Linked DNA regions of Pelodiscus sinensis. The protein of the gene in region 2 interacts with the protein of the main gene of each other region in a pairwise test. Links are inferred from orthologs where the notes say so. Each region holds a gene or a part of one and is shown on either strand. Other genes may lie near its edges.

Region 1 (15,200 bases), on a different chromosome or scaffold from region 2:
CAAACCGCGCGGGTGCTTTCAAGGGACCATCTCTCGGCGACTGCGCCCCTCGGCACGGTGCATCGGGGGGCACGTGCGCTAGGCCATCAATGCTGACCAAGGCAGCTCTTTTCCGGCAGCTTGAATCTCGGGGTATCACGGCGCCCCATCCCCCCCTCTGGGCAAGGTGCACGTTCCACACACAGATCAATTCGCAAGGGAGCGGAAGGAACCACGCACCGCTCGGCGGGGGGATCGCTCTTCTCCAGGCCAACAACCCAAGCCAATGCTCACGGGGGGCTTTTCCACCACCTGGCAAAGGGAAGACAAAGGGACTTCCAAAGTCATTGGCTCCCAAGACTTCTCTAAGGAAGCCTTTGTCTTAAAAAATAAATAAATAAATAAAGCAGCCACCCCGCACTTCCCACACCAGCCACTCTCAGCAAGTTGTCTGGAGCAAGCACCGAGTTTTGTAGACGCTCCAACTCGCTCCAAGCGGTGAAAGCTAATTTACTGGGGGCATTTCAGTCCAGCTGGGCAGTGCAAACAGAGCATTTCACGGCCTGCTTCTCCCCCACTAGCAGGAGGCCAACGGGTTTAGGGTTCAACCGCCGCGGAGGAAGATTTGCAACAAGAGACATTTTCACTGCAATTCCGAGCGATTCATAAACATGGCCACGCAAATTCGTGGCTTCAAGTAGTCGCTTCCTCTCCACTGCCACCCTCTGGCGGAGACCTGAAATCCTTCCTGATTCTTAAAAAAAAGCAGCCACCACTTCCGTCTGAGCCATGTTTACTTACGGTTCTTACCAGAAACACCCAAGATCACGGAAACCGAAAGGTTTGAAAAAGTGTCCAGGACTTTCAGTTTCTTTTCTTCCAGTACCTGACAGCTGCGTGTACGTAGCCACTTTCACTGTTCCTGCTGCTTGTGTGAGTCGTTCACACAGCCAGGGGGAGAGTATTTACGAAACCATATCTATCGGCAAGGGCCTTCCAAGCCGATCACACAGCTAGGACTTGCCTAGACGTAGGCCTCCTGGAGAGGAGAGCACACACAATTTCAAGCCAGCCAGCAAGATTCAATTCGATCATCCAGGGGTGAACAGAAACAGCCCAGACCTATTCGAAGAGCAGCCGAGGACGGTCTTTTTACACAGGGTAGACGTGTTTGGCCAACCTGCACCATTCCCCAAAGGATTCAAGGAGCAAGCGATTTATTACAATCTCACAGGCCTAGGCAAGGCCTGGTACAGGGATAAGCATCAATAGGGGATCTCAAACTATCTAACCGTCTAGGCAGACAACGACACTCAAGGCGAGCCAAGGAATCGGACGGGTAGCCACAAGGCCCAGCGATCTACAACCTGGCAAGCCGAGCTAAGTCCCACGAGCTGCTTCTTGCAGAGCAGGATTTACAGACTAGACCCCACAGAAAACCCGACCAGGGACACCTCAGACAGCAACGCAGCTCGGGAGGCCAAAAACCAGCCCAGCTAAATGCATTTATCAAAAAGCCAGCCAGGCCCCCAAGACAGAGCCAGCGTCACCCATTCATATTTACTGTCCCAGAAGATCTCAGCCCAGTAATTCCTGCACACTCCATGCTACTCTCCCCAGAGAAAGGGGTCTCTCCCCCAAACCCACACAGCTCCTGGTGTGCGAGACCCCCCGTCACTCCTCCGCAGCCAACCTGCGCTGCCCAGTCGCCCCCAGGCAGGGCCGAGCCCCGCACACAGGGCTTGCAGCACAATCCTCCCCACACATCCAGACTAGGGCCCCCCTCCAATTCCTCACACCCTGGTCTAGATCCTGCACATGCCCAAGCTAGAACCTCTCCACGTGCCCAGCCTAGATCCTCCCCAATTTCCCCCACACATGTCCAGCCGAGACCCGCCCCACGTGTACACACTCAGCCAGCCCCCACATACCACAAGCACCTTCAGCTGGCCTAGATCCCCCTCCCGCATGCCTGGCTGGCCTAGATCCCTCACTCCCCCTGCCCACAAGCCCAGCCTAGATCCCCTCTTCTATCACGGCTATGTCTAGCCAAGATCTCTTCCACATACACAGTGTAGATTCCCTACACACTTTGGAATGAGTGTGTACAGTAGGGGTGGGGTCAGATTCCCCTCCAAATCCTCCTTCATGCACACCCAGCTTACATCCCCCTCTGTTCACCCCCCCAACCTAGCACAGCAGGCTAACAGTCCTCTCCACAAACCCCCACTTATCCCCTGGATCTCTCACACTTTCTCCCCCCAGAAAGTCTCCTCTGCCTGCCCCAATCTCACACACCACCAACCCAAACACACTGGGCCTAAACCCTCCTTCCCACAATATCTTGAATCCCCACTTCACCTGTGTCTGCTACAGATGCGCTTTTCCACCTCCCCCGCCTGTCACCACCCCACATCTCCCGGATCTAGAAAACCCCCCTTCCCAATCCCACCATGCCTGACCTACAGTCCCATCCTACCTCACGTGCCCCTTCCGAATCCCACTCCATACCTATAACACACGAGCCTCACAGGTCCTCCCATGGCCTGGACCCCAGCCCCTGATCCCCCCTACACACTTCCCTGCCTGCATCACCCCAGCTTAGCTCGCCCTGGATCCCAGATCCCCCCTACACATCTCCCTGCCTGCATCGCCTGATACTGGCTCACCCGGGATCCCAGATCCCCCCTACACATCTCCCTGCCTGCAACACCTGATACCAGCTCGCCCTGGAACGCAGATCCCCCCCTACACATCTCCCTGCTGCATTGCCTGATACCAACTCGCCCTGGATCGCAGATCCCCCTACACATCTCCCTTCCTGCATCACCTGATACCGGCTCGCCCTGGATCCCGGATCCCCCTACACATCTCCCTGCCTGCATCGCCTGATACCGGCTCGCCCTGAATCCCAGATCCCCCCTACACATCGCCTGATACCGGCTCGCCCTGGATCCCAGATCCCCCCTACACATCGCCTGATACGGACTTGCCCTGGATCCAAGATCCCCCTACACATCGCCTGATACTGACTCGCCCTGGATCCCAGATCCCCCCTACACATCGCCTGATACTGACTCGCCCTGGATCCTAGATCCCCCTACACATCTCCCTTCCTGCATCGCCTGATACTGGCTCGCCTTGGATCCCAGATCCCCCCTACACATCGCCTGATACTGGCTCGCCCTGGATCCTAGATCCCCCTACACATCTCCCTTCCTGCATTGCCTGATACCGGCTCGCCCTGGATCCCAGATCCCCCTACACATCTCCCTGCCTGCATCGCCTGATACTGGCTCTCCTGGATCCCAGATCCCCCCTACACATCGCCTGATACCGGCTCACCCGGGATCCCAGATCCCCCCTACACATCGCCTGATACCGGCTCTCCTGGGTCCCAGATCCCCCTACACATCGCCTGATACCGGCTCGCCCTGGATCCCAGATCCCCCTACACATCTCCCTTCCTGCATCGCCTGATACTGGCTCGCCCTGGATCCCGGATCCCCCTACACATCTCCCTGCCTGCATCACCTGATACCGGCTCACCCTGGATCCCAGATCTCCCTACACATCTCCCTGCCTGCATCGCCTGATACCAGCTCGCCCTGGATCCCGGATCCCCCTACACATCTCCCTGCCTGCATCACCTGATACCGGCTCACCCTGGATCCCAGATCTCCCTACACATCTCCCTGCCTGCATCGCCTGATACCAACTCGCCCTGGATCCCAGATCTCCCTACACATCTCCCTGCCTGCATCGCCTGATACCAGCTCGCCCTGGATCCCGGATCCCCCTACACATCTCCCTTCCTGCATCGCCTGATACCAACTCGCCCTGGATCCCAGATCTCCCTACACATCTCCCTGCCTGCATCGCCTGATACCAGCTCGCCCTGGATCCCGGATCCCCCTACACATCTCCCTTCCTGCATCGCCTGATACCAACTCGCCCTGGATCCCAGATCTCCCTACACATCTCCCTGCCTGCATCGCCTGATACCAGCTCGCCCTGGATCCCGGATCCCCCTACACATCTCCCTGCCTGCATCGCCTGATACCAGCTCGCCCTGGATCCCGGATCCCCCTACACATCTCCCTGCCTGCATCGCCTGATACCGGCTCTCCTGGGTCCTGGATCCCCCTACACATCTCCCTGCCTGCATCGCCTGATACCAACTCGCCCTGGATCCCAGATCTCCCTACACATCTCCCTGCCTGCATCGCCTGATACCAGCTCGCCCTGGATCCCGGATCCCCCTACACATCTCCCTTCCTGCATCGCCTGATACCAACTCGCCCTGGATCCCAGATCTCCCTACACATCTCCCTGCCTGCATCGCCTGATACCGGCTCGCCCTGGGTCCCAGATCCCCCTACACATCGCCTGATACCGGCTCTCCTGGATCCCAGATCCCCTCTACACATCTCCCTGCCTGCATCGCCTGATACCGGCTCTCCTGGGTCCCGGATCCGCCTACACATCTCCCTGCCTGCATCGCCTGATACCGGCTCTCCTGGGTCCCGGACCCCCCTACACATCTCCCTGCCTGCATCGCCTGATACCGGCTCTCCTGGGTCCCGGATCCCCCTACACATCTCCCTGCCTGCATCGCCTGATACCGGCTCGCCTGGGTCCCGGATCCCCCTACACATCTCCCTTCCTGCATCGCCTGATACCAACTCGCCCTGGATCCCAGATCTCCCTACACATCTCCCTGCCTGCATCGCCTGATACCAGCTCGCCCTGGATCCCGGATCCCCCTACACATCTCCCTTCCTGCATCGCCTGATACCAACTCGCCCTGGATCCCAGATCTCCCTACACATCTCCCTGCCTGCATCGCCTGATACCAGCTCGCCCTGGATCCCGGATCCCCCTACACATCTCCCTGCCTGCATCGCCTGATACCAGCTCGCCTGGGTCCCGGATCCCCCTACACATCTCCCTGCCTGCATCGCCTGATACCGGCTCTCCTGGGTCCCGGATCCCCCTACACATCTCCCTTCCTGCATCGCCTGATACCGGCTCGCCTGGGTCCCGGATCCCCCTACACATCTCCCTGCCTGCATCGCCTGATACCGGCTCTCCTGGGTCCCGGATCCCCCTACACATCTCCCTGCCTGCATCGCCTGATACCGGCTCGCCTGGGTCCCGGATCCCCCTACACATCTCCCTGCCTGCATCGCCTGATACCGGCTCGCCTGGATCCCGGACCCCCCTACACATCGCCTGATACCGGCTCGCCCTGGATCCCAGATCCCCCTACACATCGCCTGATACCGGCTCTCCTGGGTCCCGGACCCCCCTGCACATCGCCTGATACCGGCTCTCCTGGGTCCCGGACCCCCCTGCACATCGCCTGATACCGGCTCTCCTGGGTCCCGGACCCCCCTGCACATCGCCTGATACCGGCTCTCCTGGGTCCCGGACCCCCCTACACATCGCCTGATACCGGCTCTCCTGGGTCCCGGACCACCCTACACATCGCCTGATACCGGCTCTCCTGGGTCCCGGATCCCCCTACACATCGCCTGATACCGGCTCTCCTGGGTCCCGGACCCCCCTACACATCGCCTGATACCGGCTCGCCTGGGTCCCGGATCCCCCTGCACATCGCCTGATACTGGCTCTCCTGGGTCCCGGATCCCCCTGCACATCGCCTGATACCGGCTCTCCTGGGTCCCGGACCCCCCTACACATCGCCTGATACCGGCTCGCCTGGGTCCCGGATCCCCCTACACATCGCCTGATACCGGCTCTCCTGGGTCCCGGACCCCCCTGCACATCGCCTGATACCGGCTCTCCTGGGTCCCGGATCCCCCTACACATCGCCTGATACCGGCTCGCCTGGGTCCCGGATCCCCCTACACATCGCCTGATACCGGCTCTCCTGGGTCCCGGACCCCCCTACCCATCGCCTGATACCGGCTCTCATGGGTCCCGGATCCCCCTACACATCGCCTGATACCGGCTCGCCTGGGTCCCGGACCCCCCTACACATCGCCTGATACCGGCTCTCCTGGGTCCCGGATCCCCCTGCACATCGCCTGATACCGGCTCTCCTGGGTCCCGGACCCCCCTGCACATCGCCTGATACCGGCTCTCCTGGGTCCCGGACCCCCCTGCACATCGCCTGATACCGGCTCTCCTGGGTCCCGGACCCCCCTGCACATCGCCTGATACCGGCTCTCCTGGGTCCCGGACCCCCCTGCACATCGCCTGATACCGGCTCTCCTGGGTCCCGGATCCCCCTACACATCGCCTGATACCGGCTCTCCTGGGTCCCGGACCCCCCTGCACATCGCCTGATACCGGCTCTCCTGGGTCCCGGACCCCCCTACACATCGCCTGATACCGGCTCTCCTGGGTCCCGGACCCCCCTACACATCGCCTGATACCGGCTCTCCTGGGTCCCGGACCCCCCTGCACATCGCCTGATACCGGCTCTCATGGGTCCCGGACCCCCCTGCACATCGCCTGATACCGGCTCGCCTGGGTCCCGGACCCCCCTGCACATCGCCTGATACCGGCTCTCCTGGGTCCCGGATCCCCCTGCACATCGCCTGATACCGGCTCGCCTGGGTCCCGGACCCCCCTACACATCGCCTGATACCGGCTCTCATGGGTCCCGGACCCCCCTGCACATCGCCTGATACCGGCTCTCCTGGGTCCCGGATCCCCCTGCACATCGCCTGATACCGGCTCTCCTGGGTCCCGGACCCCCCTACACATCGCCTGATACCGGCTCTCATGGGTCCCGGACCCCCCTGCACATCGCCTGATACCGGCTCGCCTGGGTCCCGGACCCCCCTACACATCGCCTGATACCGGCTCTCCTGGGTCCCGGATCCCCCTGCACATCGCCTGATACCGGCTCTGCTGGGTCCCGGACCCCCCTGCACATCGCCTGATACCGGCTCTCCTGGGTCCCGGACCCCCCTGCACATCGCCTGATACCGGCTCTCCTGGGTCCCGGACCCCCCTACACATCGCCTGATACCGGCTCTCCTGGGTCCCGGACCCCCCTGCACATCGCCTGATACCGGCTCTCCTGGGTCCCGGACCCCCCTGCACATCGCCTGATACCGGCTCTCCTGGGTCCCGGACCCCCCTGCACATCGCCTGATACCGGCTCGCCTGGGTCCCGGACCCCCCTGCACATCGCCTGATACCGGCTCTCCTGGGTCCCGGACCCCCCTGCACATCGCCTGATACCGGCTCGCCTGGGTCCCGGACCCCCCTACACATCGCCTGATACCGGCTCTCCTGGGTCCCGGACCCCCCTACACATCGCCTGATACCGGCTCTGCTGGGTCCCGGACCCCCCTACACATCGCCTGATACCGGCTCGCCTGGGTCCCGGACCCCCCTACACATCGCCTGATACCGGCTCTCCTGGGTCCCGGATCCCCCTGCACATCGCCTGATACCGGCTCTGCTGGGTCCCGGACCCCCCTGCACATCGCCTGATACCGGCTCTCCTGGGTCCCGGACCCCCCTGCACATCGCCTGATACCGGCTCTCCTGGGTCCCGGACCCCCCTACACATCGCCTGATACCGGCTCTCCTGGGTCCCGGACCCCCCTGCACATCGCCTGATACCGGCTCTCCTGGGTCCCGGACCCCCCTGCACATCGCCTGATACCGGCTCTCCTGGGTCCCGGACCCCCCTGCACATCGCCTGATACCGGCTCGCCTGGGTCCCGGACCCCCCTGCACATCGCCTGATACCGGCTCTCCTGGGTCCCGGACCCCCCTGCACATCGCCTGATACCGGCTCGCCTGGGTCCCGGACCCCCCTACACATCGCCTGATACCGGCTCTCCTGGGTCCCGGACCCCCCTACACATCGCCTGATACCGGCTCTGCTGGGTCCCGGACCCCCCTACTCATCTCCCTGCCTGGACGCCAGCCCCGGCCGCTCACCCCCGTCCGCCCGGGATCACATGAGCCCAGCGCCAGCTGGGTCCGCTCCCCGGCCCGCCCGCGGCGCACTCGGCCTGCCCCCCCGGCGCTGGCGCTCGCGGGCCGGGCGGGGCGCGAAGGCAGCACGTACCGCAGACTGAAACCTCGGCTGCTCGTCCTGCAATAAGAGAGAGACAGAGACACTCGCGTTACTGGCGGGCGGCCGGCGGGCCGGGGGGGGCAGGGGCGCCACTCACGTCGCTCTCCACCTCGATGTCATCGTTGTCGCTCATGCTGCCGGGCCTCCGGGCGCGCCGAGCCGAGCCGAGCCGGGCGGGGCGCCACAACAACAGCCCGCACCGCGCAGCCGCCTCCCGCAGCCCCAGCCGCGCCGCCGCCGCCGCTGCCTGCTCCACCGTGCGCCGCCCCCCCCTCTCTCCCGGCCACGTGACCGCCAGCGCCGCCTCCCGCCGCGGGGCCTGCTGGGGGTTGGAGTCCGCCGCGCCGCGGCCGCCGAGCGGGAGGCCGGCGCCGCGCACTACAGCCCCCGGCGGGCCCCGCGCGCGGCCCCGCAGCCCCCGGCGCCGGCGCAGAGGCGGCGGCGCGGCGCACGCCGGGAGTTGTAGTCTCGGGCGAGGAGGAAGGGACTCGGCGGGGAAGAGGACACGTGGATGGGAGGCGGGGACTGCGCGGCTCCCCACCCTGCTCAGCACCTCCCGGGGGGGGGAGGGGCGGTGCTCAGGGCTGCTGCCCTACCTAGGGGGCGCGGAGCCCTCGCTGGGTGCCCCAGCCCCCCCCACCCTGCACAGCAATGGGGGTCTCCCAGGCGCCTGCCCACCAGGGGTCGGGTGGCCTGGCCAGGCAGCTGGTTTTTGGCTGGAGCGCCCGGCGGAAAGGCCCAGCCACCTGGGCGGTTACAAGTCGGGTGGGTAGCAGGGAGGGGGCCCAGCCCCCTTGGCTCCACCCAGCTCCCAGACCCCTGCGGCTCCTAGGCACGGGAAGGTGCGGTCCACAGCCTCTGCAGCTCCCAGTGGTCCCAGTTCCCGGCCAATGGGAGCGGCACAGCTGTCACTTGGCAACAGTTCCTGGCCAATGGGAGCTGCGGAGCTGTCACTAGTGGGTGGGGGGGCAGCGTGTGGAGTGCTGGCTCTGCAGCTCCCATTGGCTAGGAGCCATGACCACTGGAAGCTGCAGGGACAGCACTTTCGAGTGCTACTTCCTAGGAGCTGCAGCAGATGCTGCCAGGTCCAAATACCCCCGACTACCTCCCATATCCCAGCCCGGAGTCTCCTCCTGTACCCAAACTCCTTCCCAGAGCCCACGACCCTCACTCCCCCGCCATACCACAATCCTCTGTCCAAGTCCTGAGCCTCTTCCTGCATCCCGAGCCTCTCATCCCGTCACACCCAGAGCCTGCACCCTCAGCAGAGGCCCCTACCACACCTAGGGGGCACAGTATCTACATGAGGGGAGGGCCGTGGCCAAGGCTCTCTGCACCTAGAGGGCATAGACCCCACCAACTTCATAAGGAGGGCCCTCACACAACCCACGTGGATGGACAATGGCCAAGGCCTCTCCCCCCACTAAAGACATGCCCCGAATAGTGGCCCCTGACTTCAGACCCCACAATGCCCACACTGGGGTGGCTCTGCCCAGTGTCCCCAAAGACTGAACTGGGGGGGGATCCTGCCCAGGATTTATTTGGGGGCAGTTTTCTCCCCTTTTAGGCAGGAAGACACAATTGATTATCACAACCTTGGAATCTATGAATTAGTGAACTAGCAAGATTTAGACGGAGCCTGAATCCGTAGAGAGGCCAAGCCCGGACTGTCGGGGCAGTGTCCACAGTGAAAGAGAAAAGAGAAGTTGGCTTGGGGGGACGTCAGGCGCTCAGTTTGGGCCACGTTGATCCCTGGATCTCCATGTGAAGGTGTCGGAAAGATGGGCCCAGGTGCTGGTTTGGATAAAAAGGGGTAGCTCGTAAGGCAGGCGGGACAGTAGTGTGTGGGTGACTTTAGTATTTAGGACTGCAGTGCTGTGGGTGGGTCTGATGGCAGGACACAAATAAGGACAGCAAATCTATTTGCACTGGGTCAGCTGTGGAGGAGTCCTTTGAGAGGAGCTGGGTGGAGCCCTCCTCTGAATGGTGAATTCAAGGCCCCTTCATTTGTTTTGAAGTATGGAAGCGGGAGCATCCCTCAAATTCACAGCCAGTGCTGGGACCCAGCAGCAGGACTGGAGGAGAGGGAAAGTATGAGAGAGGCACAAATGAAGTAGGGGAGGCTCACTCAAGGAAGCCTGTGGAGACTCAAGGACTGAGGCTGAGCAAACTCCTCCATGCTGTGCACTGGATTTCAAACGTAGGGTTGCCACGTTGTCTGGGATTGGCCCAGACAGTCCTGTATTTGTGGCCTCTGTCTGATAAAAAAAAAAACAGAAAATACTGCACATGTAAAATGTCCGGTATTTTCTGTTTTTCTTGGATGGAAGGCTGCTTGGGACATTCCTCCCCTGCCGCATTTGGTGGGGGCAGGGGAGTGTGGGGATTTAAAGGTGCAGTGACTGGGCGGGGGGAGGTTGTGTGGTTTTTATTTTTTTTCCTGCCATGTTTGGTATTTTTTGTGAAAGTATCTGGCAACCCTCTGCCAATAACCCTGTCGTGTGTGTGTGTGTGTGTGTGTGTGTGTGTGTGTGTGTGTGTGTGTGTGTGTGTGTGTGTGTGTGTGTGTGTGTGTGTGAGAGAGAGAGAGAGAGAGAGAGTGTGTGTGTGTGTGTGAGAGAGTGAGTGAGAGAGAGAGAGAGAGAGAGAGATACAGTGGAAGCAAAATACTTATTCCCACAACCCAAACAATAATATCATCAAATCACAACAAAGAGCAAGACATGCTAGCTTAAACCTCATCACTTCAAGTTCCAATAGAATTAGACAAACTTAAAAAACAACAAAATAGTCCTGCAGCACCTGAAAGACTAACAAAACATGTAGATTGGATCATGAGCTTTCGTGGGCACAACCCACTTCTTCAGATGAAGTTGTGCCCACGAAAGCTCAGGATCTCATCTACATGTTTTGTTAGTCTTTCAGGTGCTGCCAGATTCTTTGTTGTTGTTTAAGTCTTTCCATTTACAGACTAACTTGGCTCCCCCTCTGAAGCTTTAGAAGTAGACAGTGACACTACTTGTAAAACATTTTTAAATACAGGAGAAATGCAGGAAAGTGGCTTTTCACTTACATAACGTGCTGGGTGGACCTACCTATTGATCAGGATCTTGGCCCAGTCTGGCTCAAAAGATGCACCTCAGGTGAGCTGTTGAGTCAGTTTCTTCCTTTTGTTTTTAACCTTGTCAAAGTTGAAAATCCCAGCGTGCATGGGTAGGCTGTTATGAATCATGACCACAACAGAACACTAATCTTACGTAACAGTGGATAGTCTTTGAAAACACTTATCCAAAATGATGACACATTTCAACGTCTGGTGGCATATTCTGAGTGTGTGATCACAGGTGCATTGCAGCAACTTTTTCTTGATCAGGAATCACATTTAGCTCCGTTACTGAGCCAGGATTTCCAAAAGCAGAAGGATCTTTCACCCAACGCGTTTCATTTCAATTTTCAAACCCTTCTGCTGGGAAACAGGTGACAAAAATTGTCAGAACAGTGAGATGTCACGATGTGACACTTTCCATTTCATTCGCTTTTTCTTCACTGATGCTGTTTTCCTCTGTGTGTCGTAACAGAGCTGGGAACATGTCATAGCTTGGGTGATTGTTTTTCAGGTGTGTTTGCCCCAGTGCTAATGTCTTTTGGAATGTGTGTATCTGCTCCCAGTTTCAAAATAAATAATTGCCTCCTCCTTGTATAGTCACATTCAGTTTGGTTAAAATTGAGAAAATGTCAGTGAGAGAGGACAACTTTATTAACCAACTGTCATCATGAAACACATTTGCCAAGTTTGTTTCTCTCCCCCAAAAAATATATAGCATGACTACACCATCTTTTTCCCTCCAAATACAATAAGAAATATTTATTGAACACTTGCCTTTTGTGCAAGTTTATTTATAACTAACAGTAATACCCGATGTCGCCCGGGGAAAATATAGTAAAAGGTGTGATGAATGAACTACGTCAATTATATTGGCCTCTCTACGGATTCAGGCTCCGTCTAAATCTTGCCAGTTCACTAATTCATTGAACTACGTCAATTATAGCATATTTGATTGGAAATACTTTTCTCTTAGGGTATGTCTACACTACCCCGCTAGTTCGAACTAGCGGGGTAATGTAGGCATACTGCACTTGCAAATGAAGCCCGGGATTTGAATTTCCCGGGCTTCATTTGCATAAACTGGGCGCCGCCATTTTTAAATCCCTGCTCGTTTGAACCCCGTGCAGCGCGGCTACACGCGGCATGAACTAGGTAGTTCGGACTAGGCTTCCTAGTCCGAACTACCGTTACTCCTCATTCCACGAGGATTTCGGAATATAACCAATCCTGTTATTTAAGTTAGGAAATCAGTAGTATCCATGCAAAATGTTGTATTTCTAGCTCTTACCGTTTCTGAGATGTTTTGGGACAAACAAACAAACACTTTCTAAAATATTTATAAGATTCTACCATTTCCATCTAGTAATGGACCAATACCATTGTTAGGATTCTTTTTGTTCCTAATGTACTTTTAAAATCTCCTTCTTTTTTTGTCCCGAACTCTCGCCCATAAAGGTCTCTTTGTGTCCCTTGGCTTCCCTTATCCATTTTCTACAATTCCTAGTTTCTGATTGTAGTCATTACTATCCACTTTTTTTCTTCCATCTGTTATATACCATTTTTATAGTTGCCTTCATTTCCTTTCTAAATCAGGTCATTTTTAAATAATGTGGTTTTCTTCCTTAATTTTGGCTTTTGGGGCATCTAGTAAAATGTTGTCATACAATTATCATTCATGTTTTTCTGATTAAAATCTTCCTCCCAGCTGATTTCACTTATAATTGTTTTCAGGTTTGTGAAACTGGCCCTTTTAAGGAAACTAATGTGTGTGTGTGTATATATATATATATATATATATATATATATATACACACACACACAGGGCTCGCCAAGCGGCAGCGAGCCCTACTCACCAGCTATGTGGAATCGCACGCTACGCATGTGCAGACCGCGCTGCGCATGTGCTGACCGTGCTACGCAGCCGCACCAAGCTAAAATTGTCCTGCCCTAATTGTCGAGCCCTGTATATATATATATGGTATGGACTTTATTCTGTTCACAGGTCACGATCCTAAGTTATCATTCATTTTAATTTTTGTCAGTTCCTCTGGTGTCTGTCAAGACAACATATAATGTAGAGGGGCCTGTGTTGGATGCAACAATTGGTGAGTTAGGAAACTGTTATCTATATTATTTAGACATTTCAAGGATGTTTTAGTACTGGCAGCATGAGATTTCCAGTGTATGATCATGCAACCTTTTTTCCTACAATTATTGATAGGTGTGTAAGGAGCTGATCGTGCTAGTCCTCAAGAGTGATTTGGTAGCAGACGCTAATACCCAGTCTTCAATCTGTTGGTGCCCAAAATAGCCAGAGCCCGCACCCCCTTCCCCACTCAAACTCCCTCCCCCCACTTGCCTAAGGCTCTGGGTGAGAATTTGGGTGCTGGGTGCAGGCTCTGGGCTAGGGCAAGGCACTGGGGTACAGGCTCTGGGAGGAAGTTGGGCTATTGGGGTGCGTGAGGACTGCAGGGGTGCAGACTCTGGGTGAGAATGTGGGTGCAGGGGGGGTGAGGGGTCAGGCTCTGGGAGGGAATGTGGGTATGTGAGAGGGTTGGGATGCCAGGCTTACCTGGGGCACCGCCCTCTGGCAATGGCTCCAGATGGTTAGAGTCTCCATACTCCCCCCTACCCCCCGGTTTGTCCCTGGCCCTGCCTGCTGCCCCCAGGGCCATTTAAAATGGTCTGCGGGGTCCTGCGGCCACCAGTGGCCCCCCAGCACTAGCATCCCTGCAGCCCCAGGGTGGTGGTCTCCATGTGCTGCCCCCACAGGACTCTGCAGTGCACAGAGGCAGCCCCCCTTCCCTGTGGGGCCAGGGGAGAGATGAAATCCCCAGGCCGGGGGGGGGGGGGGCATTAAATTGCATGGAGGCAGTAGGTGGGGCCAGGGGAGACCCAGTCCCGAACTTTGCTGGACCTGGGCCCCCAGGTACTACAGGCTCACATAAACTCACAGCCTATGCCCATCGTGTGAGCTTTATCGGTTAGGACCCATAAGCATTCAAGGTCCTTTTCTTCCATGTTATTGGTGCCTTGAAAACAGGACATGCCAGGTTTGACACAGAGGGTCCCTCCTCCCCCCTTTTGCTCACTGAATCCTTCCTAAATAGGCTATCACCATTGATTTTAACACCCAGCTGTGAGACTCATCCCTCTGGGTCTCAGTAGGGTTCCCATCAGCGGCCCACTTAGGCAGCCCCCAGGAGAGAGTCCAGTGCTGCCCAGCTGATTAGCAGAGTGCCCACAGCTGGCAGTGTGTGTCCTCTGGTGGTGCACATCTGCACATATCTTGGTGCACAGAACAAAATTTATTCTGCATACAAATGGAAAAAAAAATTAGAGGAAACAGTGGGTTTCAGTAGCACCGAGATCAAATTTATTCCAATTCCTCTGGCTAGATGTTTGATTAAGCAACACATGACATTCTTCTCTTCATGTCCTTTGATTCTTGATTCATTCTGCCAAGGCAGAGGCGCCGAATCCCTGAGGCACTTAGTCAAGTAGCAAATCAGAGGGGTGTGAAAAAGAGATTCAGCCCTGGGGAAGCACCAGCTCCCATGGGCCAGGGACCTGCTGCAAGTGTGTGCGGGTGACACTTGGAGTTGAAAGGGAGGGGGCTCAGAGGAGGAGCTGGAGTGTGAAGTGAGAGGGACCTGCAGTGGGGGCGGAGGGAGGGCTAGTGTGGAATCTGACTGGGTACAGAGAGGGGACCGGCGTGAGACCCAGCCATGTGGGGGAGGAGGACCCAAACTATTTAGGGAGAATGCTGGCGTGGGACCCCCTCCAGTGTCGGGGGAGGGGCCAGCGCAGGGCCTGGTCCGGTGTGGGGGTGCATGCTGGGGTCACTGCATGATGAGTTGGAGTGTTCCGGGAGCCATGCGGTGTGACCCCGCACACTAGCTGTACCTACTAGTGTGGCAGGAGTCAGGCAGCAAGGGCCACCCAGCCGCCCTGGGCACAGTGCTGGGCCAGGCACAACCCCCTTTGCTCTGCCCCTCTCCGCTCTCATCCTTGTCCTGGCAGCTGCCCTGGGTCCCTCTCCCC
Region 2 (15,543 bases):
GCTTCAAACCAGAGACAAGCTCTTACTGTGACACGCGTAAAAAAAATGACACGCGTAAAAAAAAATAGAGCCAGCAGATTGTAGATTACATGAGATTATTTAAAGCATCTTTGAGTTATGCATATTCATTTTCACAAGCCAAATTTTATAAAACATCAGGGCAGGGAAAGGGCTATTCACATTAACTCCAAGTCCTGCACCTGGCTGACTCACCCTAGAAAGCCCCAGAGGCCTATGGTTTTGAAAGTGGCCGTTAATTTGGGGTTGCCAAACCTGAGACACTTTGGGCCTGATTTCTGAAGGCAGTGAATTGAATAGGAGCTGTGGGTGCTCAGCATCTCTGTATATCAGACCAAGCATGTCTCAATTTTGGCACTTAAAATCAGTCACCACTGTTGTTTTCCTTAACCTCTCTGTGTCTTAGTTTTACAGATGAGCAAACCAACGTAGTAACTTGTACCGTAAGTAACATGTGAAATTAAATGTCAGATATCTGACCACATACAGGGAGAAAATTGTCCTTCCATCCCTGTAGGCAGACTCCTTTTCCTGTGTGGAGAGAGACCTGTATTCTTTATTGGAGAATTACAATACCTTAACAATACCTCAAACCAAAAACCCCAGAGGGACTGCCCCAAAGTCACAGCAAAGCTCAGGTATTGACATGGGGAAATGCCAGGGAAAGAAAACAAAAATAGATAAATAGCATCTAGCTACAACGAGACACATCCTGAAACTACGGCAAAGGACAGAGTACAAAAGGATGCAGGTAGTGAACTATGAATAAAAGTGTTCCAGAGTTAGAAACCTTACCTCTACAGTCCTTGAAAGGTTTTAACTCAGGATTGTAAGTAGTACCAACCATACTCTTTCAAATGCTGTATCAGGACATAAGGCAAATAAAGATCCCTTCAGAATGGGGCTATGTTATTTAAGACTTTAAATACTACCAATAAGACTATGAATCATACTGGATAGAAAAGAGGCAGCCAGAGCTACTTTCTGCTTCTACATAAAAAGTCGCTTAAATTTTGCCCTAAACGATAGCTCCATCACTATAGACCAGCTGCTTCTTAAGCCCTTGTCATTCCTGTTGCCAGTGCATAGAACAGAAGTTGAAGATGGAAAAGCAGTATGTAAGGGCCCCAATATAGGAAAGGTTTTAAGTACATGTTTCTTTTTCTGTATATGACTAAGTCATTGGGTCTGATTCTTCTGAGATGTATATCAATTTTATGCCTGTGCATCTCCACTACTTGAGTGGAGCTACAACAAGGGAAGCATCACACCTATAACATTTATATTATTGTCTTGCATCTTACAAAAATATAAATGTGGTGAAAGGTTTATCAGTATTCATGTGGGAGGACCTGAACATTCATGACTGCACTGATCATGAGTAACATGTGGTTGCCAAAATGATTCTGATGAAATCTTTAGTCCACACAAAATCAACATGACTTCCATGTGTACATGCACACCCATGCTCATAACTTGCTTAAGCAAAATCATGTATTCTGCATTTCCTAGGATAGTATGTGTAAAAAATATTTAGGAATCCCCTTTATATGCTAAATGCAGTTGATAAAGGTAATTTAGCCATGTATAGAAATCATCTGCTTTTTGTCATTGTGGTGGCATATGTGCTCCTCATCACAGGTGGGAGCCTCTTCCTGAGTGGGATGCTACCTGATTGGCCACAAGGTAGCTAGCCATTTCTACAGTTCACGAAATAATCAGTCTCCAGGGAACCCCGAGCCCACACATGACCTTGTCCCCCAGATCGTGTCACCTAATGGCCTAAGTCAGTAAGAAGCCCTCTAGTCCAGGGAACATGGCACACTGGCTAGGGTTGATAATGTTGGGGCTAACATCCTGGTAGGGGAACCTGGGTCCACCCTACTCCACCAGGTCTCGACCCAGGGTCCTGTGAGCAGCAGCACTGCCTACCACTCCCCCGGCAGGGAATCTGGCAGAAACACACCAAGGCTGTGTCTATACTGCACCCCTTTTCCGGAAAAGGGATGCAGATTAGACACATCTGAATAGCAAAATCCACGGGGGATTTAAATATCCCCCGCGGCATTTGCATTTACATGGCTGCCGCTTTTTTCCGGCTTGGGGATAAGCCGGAGAAAAGCGCCAGTCTAGACGTGATTCTCCGGAAAATAAGCCCTTTTCCAGAGGATCTCTTATTCCTACTTTCAAGCCGGAAAAAAGCGGCAGCCATGTAAATGCAAATGCCGCGGGGGATATTTAAAGGGTAAATTTGGAGTAACGGGCCCTGGGGAGGAAGAACATAAAACAATGCTCAATTATCTTAAAACAACTAACTTCAGCAAGAACCTGATTCTGTGGCAGCCCCATGAGTTCAACGGCAGAAGTATCCGTGTGGCTCAGGCTATGAGTGGTAAGTCTTTGAGCAATTCTATGTCCCCACCAATCAATGGACCATATTTGCTGCAGCATGGTATTAGTGGAGTCATTTACACCTGTTCAAAGCTGGTGTAAAATGCTACCAAATCAGAATTATAGGGCAGCCTGACTGCTTCTCATGTTGTCACCACTTACACCTATATAGAATGGTGGTCAAATGCGGTATCTCCATTTCAGTAGCATTTTATAGTTATTTTACACTGGTGGTATATCTGGTGACACAGTATACACCAACTAAAGAACTGGGCCTACTGTCTTTGCATATTTAGCATAAATGAATCCTGGAAAGAGATTTAACATCTCAGTTTATCTGAATGGCTTTTTTTAAAAAAATAAAAATAAAAACAGGCAGCTTATAATTTATTTGCCATCTCTTTTTTGTTGCACTGATAAGCCTCAAGACAGTTAAGACCAAAGCAGATTGTGAAGAGATTCAAAAAGTTCTCAACAAACTAAGTGATTGGGCAACAAAATAGCAAATGAAATTTAATGTTGAGAAATGTAAAGTAATGCACAATGGAAAAATAACCCCAACTACACATACAATATGATGGGGACTATTTTAGCTAGAACTACTCAAGGGAGAGATCTTGGCGTCATTGTGGATAAATCTCTGAAAACATCCACTCAGTGTGCAGTGCAGTCCAAAAAGCAAACAGAATGTTAGGAATCATTAAAAAAGGGATAGAGAATAAAACAGAATATTTTATTGCCTCTATATAAAATCATGGTACACCCACATCATGAATACTGCACAGATGTGGTCACCTCATCTCAAAAAAGATATATTGGCATTGGAAAAGGTTCAGCAAAGGGCAACAAAAATGATTAGGGGTTTGAAGTAAGGATGTTAAGTAATGGTTAATTTACTAGTCAATAGGCACTTCTGCATTCCTCCTTTGAAATGTACAAGAGCCCCTACTGGGAACTCCGCATGCACCCCGGGCCAGTGGGAAGTCCCGCTGCCTCTGGGCTGCATGCGGGTTCCAGCTTTGAAATGTACAAAGAGCACAGGCTCTTGTATGTTTCAAAAGAGGAATGCAGAAGTGGACAGCACTTCACCACTGAGCTGGGGATCAGCTGTGCTGGCACTGCCCCTTTGAAAGCCGCCTCGGCATTTCAAAGGGGCAGCACTGCACAGCTGATCCCCGGCTTAGCTGTGCGACACTGTTCCTTTCAAATGCCGAGGCAGTGTTTCAAAGGGACAGTGCTACACTGCTGAGCAGGGGATCAGCTGTGCAGCACTGCCCCTTCGAACACCACCTCAGTGTTTCAAAGCAGCAGTGCCACACAGCTGATCCTGGGCTCAGCTATGTGGCGCTGCCACTTTGAAGTACCACCTCTTTCCCCCTCTTTGCTGCCTCCAGCTGATAGAGGCAGCTGGGGAGGGGGAGGAAATCAACTAGTAGACTAGTCCTTAACATCCCTAGTTTAGAGTGGTCCCATATGAAGAGGGATTAAAAAGACTTGGATTTTTCAGTTTAGAAAAGAGGAGACTAAGGGAGGATATGATAGAGGTCTATAAAATCTTGACTGGTGTGGAAAATATGAATAAGGAAAAGTTATTTACTTGTATCCAGAATATAAGAACTAGGAATCACTAAATGAAATTAATAAGCAGCAGGTTTAAAACAAACAAAAGGAGGTTTTTCTTCACCCAGCACACAGTCAACCTGTGGAACTCCTTGCCAGAGGATGTGGTGAAGGCTAGGACTTTAACAGGGTTCAAAAAAGAGCTAGATAGATTCATGGAGGTTAGGTCCATCAATGGCTATAAGCCAGTATGGGGAGGAATGGTGTCCCTAGTCTCTGTTTGTCTGGAAATGGATGACAGAGGAGGGATCACTTGATGATTACCTGTTATGTTCCCTCCCTCTGGGCAGGGGCGGATATACGGCAGGGCGAACGGGGCGGCCGCCCCGGGCCCCGCACTTCAGAAAGCCCCGCGCATGCGCCGTGGCACCGCTGCGCATGCGCATGGCGTCACTGCGCATGCACCGTGGCAAAGGGGGGGCCCCGTGGAAGTATGCTGCCCGGGGCCCCGCAAAACCGTCATCTGCCCCTGCCTCTGGGAGTGGCATTGGCCACTCTTGGCAGACAGAATACTGGGCTACATGAACCAATATGGCCGTTCTATGTTTTTATGTTCTCTTTTGCCGTAAGGTAAACAAGACGGGCCATGTCTACCACCTTTTCTTACACTAAATAGTTCTTAATCATTCATATAGTTTTACTGAAGTCAATAGACTACTCATATAAATACTTTTCAACAAATGCAGAATTTGGCCTTGTTTGACTGAAGAAGTGATGAAATCAAATCATGGTCTGTTTTAAAAAAATTGTTTATATGTCCTGCTTTTGTTAAAGTGAATGAATTCTGCACTAAGAGCTATATAGACAGGCCCCTGCACCTGAGAAAAGCCATTTCTCCATATGGAGTCCAGCTGATTTATGGGATTCTGCATGAGCCAACATCTTTCCCAGGATACCTTGCAGCACAAAATTGTGCCTACAGAGATCTCAGTGCAGCATCAGAGCCTACCTGAAGATAAGGGAAGGAAAGTACCACTAACTTAATGTTTATTAATGTACTTTTCCCCCTTTGTGCTCCTTCACGTTAGCTAACAAGTTATGTGATGTACCATATTCAGATCCACAAATGGACAGAAACAATAGGTAATGAGGCCCTAGTCTATCCATGACAGGTTACTTTTCAGATGCATGTTCCTTAATTCCTTCAAAAAAGAATTAGACTGAAAAAAATCTGCAATATTTAAATCTAAAATGAAAATTATCTGTTTTTCTATACATCCTAAAATGCTTTTGGCCGAGGAAGAACTTTTGATATAGGCAGGCTATTCTCTAAGGCTATGTCTACATTGTACGCTTATTTTGAAATAACTCATGTTATTTTGAAATAACAGAGTGTGCGTCTAAACAGCGAGCCTGTTATTTTGAAATAATTTGAAATAATTTAAAAATAACAGGCTTCTTACTCCGACTTCTGTAACTCTCATTTTATGAGGAGTAAGGGAAGTCAAAAGAAAGTGTTCTTCCCTCGACTTCCTGCTGTGTAGACAGTGCCAAAAATCGAGTTAAGGTACTTCGACTTCACTTATGCAATTAACGTAGCTGAAGTTGCGTATCTTAACTTGACTTTGGACCCTAACTGCCTACTGCAGGGTTTCTTGCACCTTCCTCTGAAGCAGCTGGTACTGGCTTCTGTCAGAGACAAATTGCACCAACCAGATCACTGGTATTCTATCTTCCTCAAAGGATGGGGGGAGGGAAGGAGTACTTCTGTAGTCAGCCTGCCAAAGAAAGTGTGTTAAAACCGTCTAACCCACCCCTAGCCTTTGCAGGGAGATGGCAGAAAGGCCATTTGCCTCCTGTGTACTGGAGGCCTGTCTGGTTGCAGTGCATAAAATATACATTATGCCTAAACCATGCACTGTTAAGAAAATGCCTACTGTCATCCTAAGCAGAAGCAGGATGGAGCATCAGTTGCGTAAATAAATTGCAAACTCATGTTTCCCCGTAAACTGCTCCACAGTACTGGTTTCTTTTTTTGGTAAACTAGATAAGTACAAAATGCTACAAGCACAGTATAAAGCATCCTGGGTGGTTAGAATGCATGTACTCTTGCTACTGCTCAGCTTTTACTTGCTACAGGATGTTTTTACTTTCCATTTAGCAACACCCCTATGACAGCAACAGCCATCCAGTCATGGGCTGGCTACAGATGTGTATTTTATATAATGGTAAAACAGTTCTCAAAATATATTTGCTTATTATGTGCATATCAATTATTATTTACTGCTGTATCTGTTATTAAATCTGAAAAGCCCATTGGGATGAAAGATGCTATAAAATAGTTTATAACCTGAAGAGTTTGGACAAAGTATAACCAACAGAACAAAGCCTATTTGATTTATTGGAGTAAGCATCCACTCTGAAAAACAGTGGGTTGTTTTCACATGTGGATGCCACTAAAAGGCTTTCAACTTTGAAATTGGGACTCTGTGGACTCATAAATTCAGATTTCATCAGGATTGGTTCAGATCTTTCTGGAGCACAGAGATGGGTGGGTTTTTGGGGTGAGACTTTTAAAACAGTTCTGTGTCTTCTGTGAGAACACTTAAATCAAATCCAGAATATCTGAAGTTGGTCACCCAAAAATCAAAGCACCAAACTGGAACAGTTTTGGCTTGAAGAGCCTATGGTCCTTTATTGTAAGAGCAGGAAATTTACCCTGGTAAGGTAAAAGCAAAACCTCCTTTGCCAGATGCATTTGCCTTACTTGCTGCAGCCCTTCCACCCAGAGGTGGCTGCATTTGGTGCTGCTATACTACATAGTTTAGGTACTTTATCATCTTTTGTCAGGCAAAGTTATCTCTATATAACATTCCCTGCATGGTGGATTCATTTTCTTTTTTAGGTCATGCATCTGATTACAGCTAGGGAAGGAAAGAAAGGGACCGTAGAGCTTCTATTCGAGCACTCTAGTGTTTATCCCCAGTCCCTAACTGAACTGCAGCCCGATCTTCTCTTCCTCACAGCAACACAATAAATCCACCAGCAGTACGGGTAGATGGACCCCTCCTCCTTCACTTTCCTGAGCGCCTCCCCTTTCACTTGCTTGAAACAGGACACACCTCTCCAAAACTGTTGGCTAGTTTCAGCTGCTTATTTGCATAGACTCCTCATCTCCAATCAGCAATTGCTGCCTATTTAATATGCATAAAGCCGGCCACTCAGTAGGCTGGGGGCCGGGCCACCACGTGCTGTTGCTAAGCTTCGGCTTCTAAATTGTTACTGTAGTGGCTGGCCTATCAGGGAGAAGATTCAGATCTGTCAACATTCTGTTTCCAAACCTGAGGGAGCTTGTTTTTCCTGATTGGTTCTACTTTGGAGCTAAAGCCCGCCTCTTTTTAGACATGCCGTCCATGATTGGCTATGTCAATCGCCTGTCGCCTGTGTGTCAAATGTAGGTTGAGAGAGGTGGTTTATATAGGGGACTTGGAAGTCCCCAGCCTGTGAACTCAGTGCAGTTTCTGATGCTTATTGCCTTCCTCAGCTGTTTGAAAGGCAGACAATCAGATACAGAGTTTGATAACTCAAAGAACACATATAAAATGGAGCTGAACTCTCTGTTAATTCTTCTGGAAGCAGCTGAGTATTTGGAAAGAAGAGACAGAGGTATTCAGAAAAAATGACTAGCAGGCACTTATAACATTTAACTCTCTTTGTTGCGTGGGTATTCGGACGCCCTTTTCTCCGAGTCCACATTTCCTTCACCTGCACAAGTGCCCTATGTTTTTGTTAGATGCACTGCAGAGGGGGCAGAACAAATGCAGTTTTCTTGCAATTTTTTTAAACAAACAAGCTATGGCTCGAATCGGTTTGGATTGTATGTATGTTGAAGTTTTCATATATGTTACATTGTTGTGTGTTGCCGTTTGCGATTGTATTGCAGTTTTCCCCTTTCCCTTGTCAAAATGTTTCAAGATTTGCATGATCTAGCCATGTTTTACTGTTTACTTAGATGATCCTCCTATTTTGGCACTTTTCGTTTTGTTGTGTTTCTTTTAAAAATCCGGAATAAAAGCTAAACAAATCAACCAACATTTTGTTTTTTACCCTAGCGTTCCTGCAAAGGAGGAAAAAATGCATGGAAAAATATATTGCCACTAATGCTGACTTTGTCCCTAGAAGCAGAACATGGCTATGCATCAGTGTTACCCTTCGATAGTGACTATTCCAGAAAGAAAACAAAGGCAGGCACCCTGGCCAGAAAATCCCAGAATAACAGGTAAAAGCTGTACCATCGTTTTCTACAGTGAATTAGCAACTTTTCCTATATGTGTAAGTTTATGTGCAGCTCATAGATGTATACAAATAATAACTAATCCTGTCGCTTAGTTCCCAGTAGTCGCCATTTTTCCCCTGTATGGGCTTGGCTCTGTTTTGATCTCTCATATAAACACTGCCACGCGTACACCATCGCCTTAGCACTCACTGCCTTTCTGAACCATCTGCACTCACGCGTCTTCGCCTGGTTTGTTTATGAATGTGCGCTGTTTTCCCATGCATTTTAAAATAATAATCAAAATCCTGACTTCCCTTGCATGACACTAATTCCCTCCCAGGACTTATTTACAATCTCTTTATTGCTGCGAGAGCAAATACAGCCTCCAGTTGCAGTGTAACGCCGGGATCTTGATGAGGGGAGAGTGGGGGGAAAGGGATGAAAACGTGGCTCCAATTATACTGGGACTTTTGTATGCATTTTAAAATGTTTCGAATGAACTTGACCTCTGCGGACGGTCTGAGGCATTTTTGCCCTGGTCAGTGCAGCAGCTGCCTGAGCGAGTCGCTCCGCATGCAGCATTATTACAATGCATAGTTACATTATGATCAGCTGCTTTTTGTTTGTTTGTTTGTTTCTTGCAGCCACTACCTGTGCTGTGATCACCATTAGCTCAAGGTTTCTGCGCAGCCTCCCTGCAGCTTTGTTTGGCTGACCAGGCAGTGCTCAGAGTGCAACTGTCTACGTGCAGAAGGCTGTCTTAAAGAGACAGCGCCTCCTCTTTACGTGGGAATTCCTTCTTTTCTTGCACTTTATGTTCTTGAGGGGGGAGGAGACCAGATGGTTCCCTCCTTCTGCAGACCATTGGTGCTCTCTGCTCTTAACAAAATGACTCCTTAAAAAAATTGTTGTTGAATATGATGAGCCCTGCAGAATAGCCTAAAACAAACAAAACTTGCATATGACATTTTTCAAATGAAAGGAAAGTTGGCAAAATTCTTTGATCTCACTTACTCCAGCGTAAATGCTGCAGAACCCCAGTGTAGTCAGTGAGATTGCTCTGGATTTACACTGGTGAAATGGGAAAGTAGAAATCGGCCCAGTCATGGATATTAAAGTTTGAAGATATGAACTAAGCAAAAAGCAAACAGCTTGCTCAGAAAAATACAAGATCACAATGAGCTGTGTTTGCAGTAACCACTGCAGGGAAATGTGCTTGAACACGATTGAGGGGAATAGAAGGTGTAAATCCTTCCCCTGGCCATCCCTGACTCCAAATAGCGATGAATGCTGATATTTCTGGGAATATACATTCAGGAGTGGGGGGAAGTAATAGTAAAATTGGTTACAAAGATACAATATCAGTTGATTTTTAAATGTGAATTACCAGGAATCACAGAGGTGCCTAGATTTTGAGACACTGTTCATCTATATACATGTTACCTCTGAATTTTTTGATAAAGTAACCATATTGTGCAAAAGCAGTTATTTAAACAGGATTCTAGGGTTTCAATTCTAATTCTAGAGTTTGTGGATTTGCTCCAATCCTTGTTTCTTGTACGGAAGAGAGAGAAATCTGTATTACTTGGGGAACCTTCATTCCATCATTTCCTTTCTTGGGTTTCTTGCTGTCCACAGCAAAACAGTTCTTTGAATTTTTAGCAGAGGATATATAATCTATCAATTTCAGCAGAATTAAAAGATTCCTTGTTAGAGGTTTGACGGGCTTATCAAAGCCAGAGCACACATCATTACTGACGGATTGTCTGATATTTCTCCTAATATTTTTTTCACTCTAATGCTTGCCACGCACACACAAACGCTTTTAAAAAAATGCATAATGATCTTTTTATTGTTTTATTACCAGCTTTATTTGTTACAGACTAAAAAGGGCTCATTCATAGTGTGTGTGGGATAGGGCAATACCTCTGGAGAAGTAGGTTCAGCCGTGGCTAAGGCCACAAATTCAGTCTCCATGTTTAGTTCACCGTGGATATTTGTCCACATCCTAAAGAAAACAGCAATCTCTATAGACAGTCTCTATAACACAGACCGACCCATGGCTGGAAATAGCAGGTTGTTGCGATACGGGGTTGAGGTGCATTGGCAGAGGTGTTTGAGCAGTCCTACATTGTGCTTGCCTACAACATGCCTGTTTTTATCTGTTACTTAAGCTCGTAGGTTCAGATGCAGCTTTATTTCAAATGTATGATCCCAAATTCAAATAGTACCACCTCTCTTATTCATTTTGGGAGCATAGGCGCTGGTGCTAGGGGTGCTCAGAGTCTGCTGAACCTCTTGGCTTGAAGTGGTTTCCATTAGATACAGGGTTTACAGTTTGGTTCAATGACTTGTAGCACTATCCAAATTGTTCCAGCACCCTTGTTTGGGAGCAAATGTCAGGTTATTCGGTTGTCAGGTCACAGCCTCAGAGTGCATAGAATTTGAATGTATTGTTCAATTTGATCATGCAATCAAATCTTTATAAGCAGTTCAAGGGATTAAGAAGGGGCTAGACAACTGGCCAGATTTCGGACGATCCTGAGTGGAAAAGAATAAAATTAACTAGTCAGGCAACCCTTTTTTGGCTGGTTTATTTTAATCACTTTACAGAATCTCAATGCATGGATAGGTGCAGGCATGATTGGGTGTGAATATCTGGAGGGCCATCTCTTTGTGCTCTGGAGTTGTTTTTTTAAAAGGTGGGGGGAGGGCGACTGCATATTGCAAAATTGCAGAATGTTATTTTTTCAGTAACTTGGTTATTTCTAAATCCTATTTCTTCTAGAAGTCTCAGCAGGTTTGAAAATTAACCTTTGCCTATATCATTTGAGCACAAATAAAACACATAAACAATTGTTTTTAAAGCTTGAAAAGCATCTCTTTCATGCAAGGATAACTCCAAAGTGGGTCACAGAATTGTATTGAATTTAAAAAATTAAATTAGCCTCTGGACTGAGAACAAGCATGAGAAATTTCAATTCAAATCTCTCCTCATACTTAAAAAAAAAATAACAGGCAATTGGACACAGGTTCATATAGGGAAAAAAATGTTTCTTCAGCCACAGCTGTGACTATTAACAAAAGTCAGCTCACTGAAAGAGTTCATATTTTGTATATTTTTGTTTGTTGATGTTTTTGTTTAAAATATCACTCGGTGAGTTTTAATTTTATGTTGCTATAGAAAACATTTTCATGTTACTGTGAAGACAGCAGAAAATGTTGCTTGATGACATTTTTGCCCCATCTCTGTATAAGAAATATTAGTTTTTAATAGATTGATGTATACATTTCCTTATGATGTCCAGTCCGTTGCCCTTGAATCAGGCTATATTTATATGTTCCCACTTTATACAAAACAGACTTGAAAGGGTTTTTTAAGAAAAACTTCTTTGTGTCTATGGCATTCTCTCCTAAGGTTCAGAAGTGTTTCCCCCAGATGCTTATTATGAAAATTCCTTAGTAGATTAAACTGGATTTTTGGTTTCCAGTCTGAATGGATGATTCGAAAAAGGTGCAAGTTTGTAATTGATTTTTTCTGGGGGAGGGAAGATAAACCCATGTCAGCGTCTCTTGTAATGGTGATAACTAGACATTATTTGGCCATTGTGTAGTAAATGTCTCCTTTGGATAGAGTAATAATAGTAGTTCCTAAAAGCAATACAGTGGAGCTTGTTAAAATTATTGCTAATACACAATTGGAATAAAATCAGGCTAGAAAAAATTCAGTTAGTAGAGTTGTGCCTTGGAGGTTGCAATGTTAAATTTTCAAATGTCTTTCCATGTAGTACAGTGAGTATAATAAAATGGATGTATTACAGATGTCTGCAGTTTGTTAAGAGGGAATATTTCACAGAAGCAGAAAGTCAAAGAAGTTCAGAAGATTACTTGGTTGCAGAAAGTCATTTGTAAATAGGAATTCACTGTAGCTTGCAGATAATTGGAGCTTTCTTGTTTTGTTTCCTGTTTGTGATGCCGACTTAACAGAGATAAGCCTATGCATTTTTGTGTTTATATAAGGGGGAAAACCGGTAGCCTGAACTGACCCCCTTGTGGACAGTGGCCCACAGCACAGTACAGTTAGACAAGCCTGATTCTCCATTGCCTGGTACTTTGTGCAGTCTCTTATCACTGAACAGTGGGTGTAAAACACTATAATTTATCTTCGCATGAGTGTAAAAGACCACAAAGCAGCAGACGATCAGGCCCAGTGTGTGTTCTGGCCAATGAAAAGATAAGAAGTAAGTAAATATGCAGAATAAAACCTTAGTGCTCGATCCCTGACTATTGGGGCACAGTTAGATTTACTGGCAGAGCAGGAAACTGGAAGTCTGTGAAGTAGCCTGCTTGGCCTATTAATTTAGAAGCCGATGAAAAAGAGGGGAAAATGAAAGCAAAACTTAGATTTATAAATATCCCCACTGCCTTGATTGAAACTAATCAGTATTTATATTTGATATTTTATATCAATGGATATAGTTGTGAACAATGTACTGTGCTCTGGTGAAGGATATATGTGCAAAAGGATGTGGTGGGTCAAAACTGCACGTTTCAAATGAAAATATTGTTTAATGTCTCCATTGCTTGTCTGTCACTGCAAACCAGTCTGATTTCTGTCTGACACTGCTCTTTGCAGACTAGAAGTGTGTGAATTGTTCAGCTAAAATTCTTTCAGCCAAAAAATGCAGATTTGGGTCAAATGAAACCTTTTGTGAATTTGTATTGACTTTGTGGTGAATTGTTTGGTTGCATTGGAAAAAAAGGGGGAAAAACCCTTCAGAAATGTCAAAAGCAATCGTTTTGACATTTCTGAAGTGTCTCATTTTGATTTTTTCAGGCGAGGTTCATACACCAGAAATAGTGATGGTGTCCCTCTTATAACCATTAGCTTAGTACATAGGGAAGTAACCTGGGATGACTGTAGAGTCCTACTGTCTCTGGCCAATGGCTATTAAAGTACAGATTGTACCTCTAAAATCTGGGATTCTCTGGTCCGGCAACATCCATGGTCCGGCACGCTTCAGGGGAGTGAAGACCCGGAAGCTGGTGGCTCATTTGGGCTGCAAGGTGAGAGCCAGGAGCCGGCCTGCAGCTCAGTTGGGCTGCTGGAGTTGGCGTGCAGCTCAGCGGGGCTGTGGAGGAGTGCCAGGAGCCGGCCTGCAACTCAGTTGGGCTTCAGGAGTTGGCTTGCAGCTCAGCGGGGCTGCGGGGGAGTGCCAGGAGCCAGCATGTGGCTCAGCTGGGCTGGGAAGGTGTGGGAGCTGGCGTGTGGTTCAGCTGGGCTGTGGGGAAAACCAGGAAGTGGGGAGAGGAAGCGGGGAGAGGCCCCTGAAATGACCACCCCGATCTGGAAAAATCCCTCATCTGGGACTAGTCAGGTCCTGAAGGTGCCAGATCAGGGATGTCTAACCTGTGTTTCATATAAAATGGCACAGCTCCAGTGCAGATGGACCTCTAGATCCAGAAGGAGTATTTTAGAGTTTGGGACTTATTTTCTTTCATTTATTAAATGACAGTCTGAGAATAAAATAACTCAAAATCCAGACTGCGGAAAAACAATGATGTGTTTTGCACTCTCTGAACTAAGTGTATCCTTCTTGTTTATTTTTTTCCCCTAGGAAAGTGAGTCCTGAAGGAAAATTATCTATATTACTGAACGTATAAAGCAAATAATGCTAGTCATTCTTCTGCTCTACTCTGCGCTGATTAGGCCTCAATTGGAGTATTGTGTCCAGTTCTGGGCATCACATTTCAAGAAAGATGTGAAGAAATTGGAGAAGATCTAGAGAAGAGCAACAAGAATGATTAAAGATCTAGAGAACATGAGCTATGGGGGAAGACTGACAGAACTGGGCTTGTTTAGTTTTGGAAAGGAGAAGACTGAGAGGGGACATGACAGCAGTTTTCAGGTATCTAAAAAGGTGTCACAAGGAGGAGGGAGAAAAATAGTTCTCCTTAGCCTCTGAGGATAGGACAAGAAGCCATGGACAAGGGAGGTTTAGGTTGGACATCAGGAAAAATTTCCTGTCAGGGTGGTTAAATGCTGGAGTAAGTTTCCTAGAGAGGTTGTGGAATCTCCATCTCTGGAGATATTTAAGAGCAGGTTAGATAGATATCTATCAGGGATGGTCTAGACAGTACTGGGTCCTGCCGCGAGGGCAGGGGACTGGACTCAATGACCTCTCAAGGTCCCTTCCAGTTCTAGTGTTCTATGATTCTAGTGCTGCATTAATCAAATACATCTTGTAAGTTGAGGAAGTTTCTTATGAGGAAGTATAGTATGTATGACAGCAGCAGTCATTATGTGTTTTGTTTAAGTCACCTAATGACATGCAATGTCAGACCTCGCTCTTACATACAGATATGTCATACAAACTCTACAGTCTCACTAGAGTCAGAGTTCTGCATACAGGACTGCGCCAATGCATCCATTTGTGGAATCCTAGCCTTTTTCCATAATATTGGCAAAATTCTGCTTTGAGGTGGAACTAAAAGAGAAATAGTTTTAAGAGTTATGATGTGATAATTAAAGAAAAAAAAAGGAGGGGAGCAGTCAGACTCAAAGAATGCAGATCTGAGGTTGTGTTTTAACCACTCAAATATCAGGTAATCCAAAGTTCATCCCGGGTCTTGCAATGTGCCCAGCTGCAGATTGGTATGCTGGCACCAAACTCTAATAAAGCCAATTGAGACCTTAAAGTTGAAAATGTATTCTCCTTCTCTCTGTATGTCTATTACATTGTGTAACTCCAGCACATGCTGGTCATCAGCAGGCAGAATTGAACCTGTGTCCTCTGGAGCATAGTACATGAGCCTCTACCACCCTGGTGTCTAACCAGTTCTGTGCTATAGTGAACTAGCCACACTCAACTGGCTAAAAAGTTGCATGTGGCTAGTGTGTTGGATTCCACGGCTCTGCCACATGTGTCTACTACCAGAGGCTGGAGAGCAGACTGCTTATTCTGTCTCTGTAAATGGTTTCAGTGCCACTATATGGGACAGTACACCACACCCAGGAGGTGTGTGGGTTACAATTGCAGACTCTTATTAGATGATCACATGCTGTTTCCTAAATAATACATTGTCACGTTTATTTGTGTGCTTTTCCTCCATTGTGGATATATGCATGTAGCATCTTGTGGGGCTTACCACTCTGTTCTTGTGTTTTGGCCTTGCCTAATATTTCTTAAATATATTTTCAATGCTGACAACACACCAGTATTGCTAGGCATCTCTTACCGTCATTTTAAGCACACTGTCCATGAGACTGCTATAATAGACTTGGGACTTAAAATATT

The links.
Region 1: the proteins of MXD4 (region 2) and MAX interact in a two-hybrid assay, tested with the Homo sapiens proteins (2 studies listed by BioGRID). The link is inferred for Pelodiscus sinensis from reciprocal best matches to the Homo sapiens genes MXD4 and MAX.

What each region holds. Positions count from the first base shown.
Region 1 is NC_134714.1:129,398,714-129,413,913, forward strand, and holds the start of MAX (protein max), read right to left. Parts: upstream 8,337-15,200; 5' UTR 8,184-8,336; coding exon 8,148-8,183; intron 8,069-8,147; coding exon 8,042-8,068; intron 1-8,041. UniProt on the Homo sapiens protein: Transcription regulator. Forms a sequence-specific DNA-binding protein complex with MYC or MAD which recognizes the core sequence 5'-CAC[GA]TG-3'. The MYC:MAX complex is a transcriptional activator, whereas the MAD:MAX complex is a repressor.
Region 2 is NC_134715.1:117,918,019-117,933,561, forward strand, and holds the start of MXD4 (max dimerization protein 4), read left to right. Parts: upstream 1-7,431; 5' UTR 7,432-7,493; coding exon 7,494-7,635; intron 7,636-7,673; exon of another isoform or gene 7,674-7,787; coding exon of another isoform or gene 7,788-7,850; intron 7,851-8,081; coding exon of another isoform or gene 8,082-8,148; coding exon 8,149-8,248; intron 8,249-15,543. UniProt on the Homo sapiens protein: Transcriptional repressor. Binds with MAX to form a sequence-specific DNA-binding protein complex which recognizes the core sequence 5'-CAC[GA]TG-3'.